2 linked regions of the Coturnix japonica genome follow. The protein of the gene in region 1 purifies or fractionates together with the protein of each later gene. This does not show direct contact. Links are inferred from orthologs where the notes say so. Each region holds a gene or a part of one and is shown on either strand. Other genes may lie near its edges. The genes, in order: SLC34A2 and ENDOD1.

Region 1 (4,251 bases):
GGTGAGCATCTCATCACCTCACTGTCAGAGCTGGGTTTCACAAACAGTGGCTCAGAGGAGAATAAACCACAGCTTACAGGAATTAGAGGGATTCACAGTTAAAAGCTTCAGCTACTTCTGAGATGGAGGTCATCAATCATAAACAACTATTTTTATAGACAGCGTTGAAAGACAGTTTTGTTAAGAAAACTGAACTTCTGAAAATGGTCCTTGAGGCCATTTCCTATCACTTCGTTCCCCTTCAGGCTGTTGTCAGGTCTCCTTGGGCTCCAACATCAGCTGTAATCAGGGTCAAGGCAGCAGCTGGCTTTACACCAGCAGGTGCTTTGCGATTCTGCAGATGGGGCTGTGGAGGCTTTGCAGCCACCACTTACACATACACATTTCTGAGACTAACGTGAGGAGCAGGTTCTGGCCCCCAGCTCCAAAGGCTGGGTGTCTGATAGATAGAAAGGTGCAAAAAGCAAGAGTTCTATTTTTCTTGCAGAGTTACTAAGTCACCGAGCTGCAGGGAGATAGCCCTGCATATGCACAGACGAAGCAGATCTGCTGATTCAGTGGCTGGTTTACAGCTTACTTTCTCAATACAGCTTGCCTGCTGAAACAGGAAAAATTCAGAGGGAATAAAACTACGGTGCCTGAAGTAGCCCCTCAAGTTCCCAGCTAAAATCATCAGTAAAATACTGATTTGTGCCTACTTGGTAATAGCTTACTGTAGTTATTGGATAACATATCTCTTTATCGCAATCTTCCTTGATAACGCTCTGAATGCAGTTATCAAAGGTGTCCTTACATCTTTAACTCATTCAGAATGAAAACCATCGCCAAAATGCTAATGAGCTCCCCTTAATCGTAAACACGGAGCACTGATAAGAAGGAAACTTCATCCTCTGTTCTCAAAGAAGTTCTTACGTGTTTCCTACTTACACCGTGTTTTATCTGATTCCCCTCCACTTCTGTTCCTAGGCAGATTAATAGGCACCCGAACGGACAAATAACAGTACTGCCACTTCTCTGCATCCTTTTGACAGACTTCTGAGATTGCAAAATATTGTTTGAAAATTACTATTGGAAAAAAGATTAACCGAGTGATCAGGCAGACTGCAATTTCTCCGGCTGGAACAAACCGTCCCATAGCACTCACATGAACACATTAGTAACTCTTACTTAAGTGCTGATGGGACATTTTTTAGAACGTGATAAGTGTGAAATAGCCTGTAGTTTTATCACTCTCGGTTGCTGCCCACTCCTTTTGAAAAAGGGTTGATCGTGATTACTGAGGTAGGCACTGCCTTCGGACTGTAAAAATGTTACTGCGTAATGATGAAAGCAAACTTTGCTCAACACCTGTCTATATATATTGCAGGTTGCAGTGGCTGCCCAGTTGGTCCGTTCACTCTGTTGCCTGGGGAGAAAGAAGTGGTAAGTAAAACCAACTAAGAGCAAGGAGTGCTGTGGTTTTTACTTTGTTTTCTTTCTTTCTTCTTCTTTTTTTCCCCTCATAAAAAATTTTAAACTTAATTAGCTTATAAATCATCAGCTCTGCTTTCACAGCTCAAGAAAAGGCAGCAGAGAGCTAATGCAGGGAGCAGGAGGGGCGTGTGAAATGTCACCCGGTTGGTAGCATTTTCAGCTTGTGTGCTTCACTGCATTTATATTTTAAGGTAGTGATAACAAAGTGTAATTCTAAAACCAAACTCTGCTACTTTTTGTTTGCAAGTAACCAGTTGTTTTAATGAAATATCATAGGAAAAGACCCGGTGTATTTGCAGCTGTCACAAGCAAAGCAAACAAAAACACAAATAATAACTGCCTATGACATAAAGATGTTATTGGTTTTGCTATTATTTGGATTGAAAAGCGGTGAGATTTTAAGTCACGGTGGTACTGGATACTGGAAAATGCCCAGGATATGATTAATGAAACATTGGAATGGAATACTGTCGGTCCATGTGCTGGTGCAGATAGCCGCAGTCTGTGTGCAGCACTACCAGGGCCAGGCTATTCTCCACGGAAACATTTTCTTATGCTAATTCAGTTTGATACACTGGGGTAGAAGGAATACATTAGTCTAATGCAGTTAGTTCAACTAATGTGACAGTAGACAGAAATCAGCTGGTTTCTCAGTAACTTTTATTAGCAGCTCTTCCATTAGATCAGTAAGTCCTTTTAATGTCATTATTCTTTCCTCTCTCCAATCTTTGCTGTATGTTTTTGTCTTTGGGATGGGGTAACTTGTTGGGTTTCCTTATTGCTGGGAACATTTTGCTGTTGCTGTTGCTTTATTCTAGAAAAAGGAATTGTTTGATTTCAGTAAATACCTCCTGGGTGTTTCAAGCAGGTCACTGAAGTTTCTCTGTTCTGGCTCTTAAGTGGCATTGTTTGGAGCTTTGCTTGGTTGTAAGTGCTAAAATTAATGTCTGGGATTTGTTTTCTCTCTGCACTAGTTTAGGCATTAGTTTTCTTCTTAGTTTTATCTTTTTTATTTAGCTTTGCCACGTGTTAGATGTGAGACAAAAAGTCAGGGCTGTATAGGAATAAGCAGTGAGTACAGTGCTGACTTTTTATTCCAGCTTTCACACATCCTTTCTTTTTTTCCTTGATTGCTTCTGCATTAGTTGAAAGCTCACAAGGTGGCTGAGCTTCCTGTCTTATTCAGACAAAAAGCCCCATGGAGGTGCCAGTGCAGAGATGGGGTTTGCTCTGAGGCTGGATCCTATCCGGCATTTGTTTACCCGGTTTTCTCTTCTGCTGCACTCGGGGCTTTGTGGCTGCAATGGGCTCTTGGGTAGAACTGTCAAGTAATGTAAAGAAACTAAATGAATTTGTGCTGGCTAAGGTCTTTCCCTCCCCATTTCAATATAATTTGCTCCTCTGTCTGAGATAATGCATTTTGAGGAAAAGCTGTATTTCTTCCAACTGTACATAAGAAGGATTACTGTGTAGCTATGTATTTACTGCTCTAAAATATGTGTAGCAAATAATGATCTTGACTAACTCATAGCACTGGCTCTCAGATCATCTGGTAAACGCCTTTTCAGCATAAAAACTGTAGCATGGTCTGGATGGCAAAAAGTGGTATGTGTTTGTGGGAAGGCTGTGAGAGGAGAGGAGAAGTGTAGAGAGTCTGTCCAAAGCCAAAATTTGATTTGGAGCTTCATAAGCAACCTGGGAATTTTTTATTTCCCCAGAAAAGCCTTGATTTCATTGGGTCTGTTCCTGTCAGGTGAGATATGTTTCAGGCTCACAGCTCATTTCGGGCACAACCTGCCCTTTCACTGGATGGTCACGGGTGGAGAGGTACAAACAATACTGTACAGGCATGTGCAAATGGAACTTCATATTCTCTGCGTTAAGTCCATCAAAAGAAACAGATTTGTCGCTGTTGCTGCTTTAAGACAGAATAATGCTGACACGGAGCCCTACAGCAGCAGCAGCAGCACTGTTACAGCTGTGCAGTGGCCAGGGACGGCAGTGAGGGTGTTGTGTGACACCAAGCGTCGCTCTTCTCCTTCCCTGGACTTTAACTCTGTCATGCAGCAGCAAGGGAGAGAACATGGCTCTGACTTCATACCTCTCACATTTTCTTGCAGCATTTGTTCCCTCCGTTTGTGCTGATCTCCCCCTGAGGAGCGGGAGGTTTCAGTTTCCCTTGCAGCCAGAAAGGACGTCACACGCAGTTAGCATTTTCCGAAGGAGAGGAAAGACTATACCTGCCGTGCCGTGGTGTGAGAGGCTTTGCTGCGTGGCTCGCTGGCGCAGGCTGGGTTACAGCCTGCACGGCGTTAGTTTTCAGCCCTTTGCAATATGCATAGTGTGCTGTGACCTGCCACTTTCCGGGGGAATGGGGCTCCTGTTTCAGCACAGCACTGAGCAGCACACTCAGCCTGTGCCCGGGGTCTAGCTGAGCTTCTCCTGGCAGCCTGTGTGGGCACAGGCCTGTCCTCTGCACATTCTCTAACATGTTCCTTTGCAGTTGTCATCAGTGCTCAAAAGAAAACCACTATTAGTGTTTTCATAGCCACCGTTTACAATGGTGCTGTGTCTGATGTCAACTAATCCGAGGAGCAGGGAGTGATGTGGGCAGCCCTGTCACCCTCTGCTCATCCAGAACACCTGGATTGTCTTCTGCATGTTTTTCTCAAGATATTAACATTTGTATTGAGGGCAAGAAAGAGTTGTTTGAAGGGAAAATTGTATCCTTGTAGAGCAGTGATCAATTAACACTAAGTTGCTGTGGCGAGGACTCTG
Region 2 (2,978 bases), on another chromosome or scaffold:
ATTTCTCTGGGCTCAACCCAGAGTGAAGATAACAGAGGTAAAGGTCACCTTAAAGTGCACAGAAACTCCTGCAGTGAAGGGCTGGGTGATCTGGTTGAGGCAAGTTCAAGTCATGTTGCCTTCCCTGTCCCGTGAGTGACTCTGAGCCCACAGTTATCATGATAAAGATGTGGAAGACCAGCCCCTCCCCTTGGTCTGCCTGTGTCTCAGGGCAGCTCTCAAGCACTGAGCTGCAGATCCTAAAGGCACACAGACCTGTCTGGGGGATGTGCTCAGGGAGATGTATCAGCACAGAGCAACCTGAAATAGCCGCTCCCAGCCTTTTCTCCTGTCCTAAGATCATCCACCCTGGGCAGAGGGATCCCAATCCCTGCAGAGCAGGAGCTCATCAGCCCCTATTCCCTTCCCCTCCTGCTTCAGTCCCTTCCCACCACACACCAGCCTCTCTTGGCAAGGGGTTCTTTAGGCACATGCGTAGCTAAACGCATTGCCTGCAACCCCCAGCTCTTACTCACGTATTCTGTACCTTAATGAATTAACTCTTTTAATGTGCTTTGATAATGCAAAGGTGTTTTAAAAGCACAAAAGGATCATTAATATCAGATGTCAAACCATAACAAAGAACAACTGCGCGGCTGCGTTATCTTATCTCCAGTTGAGACAGAAACGTGATATAGCCGTCCCTCTTTGCAAAAGTCACTTTTATTTTGTTAAAGCCATACATTCCCAAGGACAGAGTAAAGCTCACAAGCCATAAATCATGCCCAGATAAGAATGATCTGAAACAATACTCTGCAGCAGGATGTTGCTCGTTCTCTAACAATTACTGGGTGTTTCAGGCAGATTTCCCACTGCCTGCTCAGACATGCAGCAGAGAAGACAAATGACCTGGTGCTGGTCAGGGTTCTTCATGTTGGAATCCGAGCGTGTTCAGACAGCTGTAACAGTGTGGCTCCACATCTGCCTGAATCCTACAGTGCTGCGGTCTCCTGGATGGCAAGAACTGGCTGCTCTGTGACCAGGGCTGCGGCACAGAGATGGGCTGGCCTCAACCTCACTAGGTGATGATGGAGATATGGTGACATCAATTCCACAGTGCACTGGGATATGAGAGCAGTCTGGAGATAAGGCTATGCTTAAGGCACAAGAGAGGCATGTGGGGGGCGGCTGGAGCTGCATTTGGACATCAGTGCCACCACATCCTGGACCCTGGGGCACACACACACTGGTGCCCACCGCTGCACTGACAGCTTCAGTACAAAGGAGGGATTAGTCAAACGTTGCTGATTTTGCATGATTAGACCTTCCCTCTTCTCTTGTCCCCACAACGTCACACCCATGGGAACAAGGGCTGAAGAAAAAGGAGCAGTGAGGACAGGGAGTGCAGGTGAGGGACAGGTGCCCTTCTGACATGAACGCTGCTCATAATGGAGTCACTGGACAGAGATATATGGAGCAGAATGCAAACTGTGCCCCAGGCCTCCCTCACCTCCAGCTGCTCTCCAGGCAAGGTCTATTAGGACATAAAATCAGTGAAAGCAGCAAAATGACCCACAGGGCTCCCTTGCTCTTCCCCTGTCATGAGTTCCCCCTGTCCCTCTTGTACGTACATCAGTGCTGCCACCAACTCAGAGCAGTCCTACAGGAGGATCATTTCAGAATCATAGAATTCACAGAGTGGCCTGAGTTGAAAAGGACCTCAAAGATAATCTGATTTCAACCCCCCTGCTGCTTGAGGTGCACTTGCACAATATGCCTAAGAAGGATGACCAGGACAGTACCAATCCGCAGCCTGGGCACATCCAGCAGAGATCTCTGGCACATCCAGCTGTGTGTTGGATGAACCGCCAGCTCTGAACAGAAGTAGGGCAGGCTACTTGGACTGATACAAGACCTTGGATTGATTCAAGACCAAAAGTATCACCTACATGGCTCTACTGGGCTTTGGAGCCCACCAGCCAGGGCAAGGAATTCGGGGTTGAGATCTTGATTGGTCACCAGGGAATAGTTCAGGGAAAGCGAGCTCGGTGTGGTGAAGGGAAGGAGCTGGCAGCAGGTCTGGAGAGCTGTGAAACACACCCAGCCAAATTCCTTCTCAGGCTCTGCTGGAGAGACTCCAGTGCAGTGAGCAATGCAACCAGCAGCACGACTCGGACCCATTCCCTCCCCAATCCCCGTCTTGCCCCTTACCCTTGCACTCTGCCCAACTTTTCTCTTTCAGAAACTGAAGTCCTTCCCCAGACCACCACCTCTGCACCATGAGGGATGTGCATCTGCAGAGGTCACTGCCCGTGCATAGGTCTCAGTGTTGTCGCAGTAGGAAAGAAACAACCTTGTACCACATTTAGAGAGCATCTTCCAGAGGAAGCAGCTTGATGTCTGCAAATCGCAGGTCTGTGACCTGCACCAATAGAATCCAAACACGTTGAAACGGATAGAGCTTGAGTTGCAATGGTGATGTCCCCTCGTGAAGTTACCTCGGCCCTCCCTGTTACTCCCCATATTATTAATGTCACTTACAATAAATACCAGAACAAAATCAACAGCGTTTGGCCACATATCTTAAAGCATTTCCCCACTCCTCTTTCATTTTCTGTCTTTGCAGCCTTGATTTCCACCCCTATCAGTCACCAGAGGAGCCCTTAGGGATAAACCGCTTGACTATGTGACTAGCCACGTAATAAAAGCCATGCAGGATGGAGGCTGTGGCATCAATGGCCAGCGAGAAGGTGCCACCGATCCCAGCGGCCATGTCTGTGACAACGGAGGGAATGGCACAGATGGAATAGTAAGGGAAAGAAGCGAGGTGAAGGACAAACCCCATGGGGATGCGTAGAATCCTATAGGTGATGACTGCCACATCTTGAATAATTCCCAGAAAGCCCAAGAAGATGTTGCTGATGACCCTCCCCACATCATAGGGGATGCTGATGAGCACCATGCTGATGGCTTTAAGGTAGGACACCATCCCATTCCAC

Evidence for each region.
Region 2: the proteins of SLC34A2 (region 1) and ENDOD1 purify together in Homo sapiens (co-immunoprecipitation; 3 studies listed by BioGRID and IntAct, counting the BioPlex papers as one, with this or other methods). This does not show direct contact. The link is inferred for Coturnix japonica from reciprocal best matches to the Homo sapiens genes SLC34A2 and ENDOD1.

The regions. Positions count from the first base shown.
Region 1 is NC_029519.1:66,479,996-66,484,246, reverse strand, and holds the start of SLC34A2 (sodium-dependent phosphate transport protein 2B), read left to right. Parts: upstream 1-1,357; 5' UTR 1,358-1,422; intron 1,423-4,251. UniProt on the Homo sapiens protein: Involved in actively transporting phosphate into cells via Na(+) cotransport.
Region 2 is NC_029516.1:165,884,088-165,887,065, forward strand, and holds the end of ENDOD1 (endonuclease domain-containing 1 protein), read right to left. Parts: coding exon 2,624-2,978; 3' UTR 683-2,623; downstream 1-682. UniProt on the Homo sapiens protein: May act as a DNase and a RNase. Plays a role in the modulation of innate immune signaling through the cGAS-STING pathway by interacting with RNF26.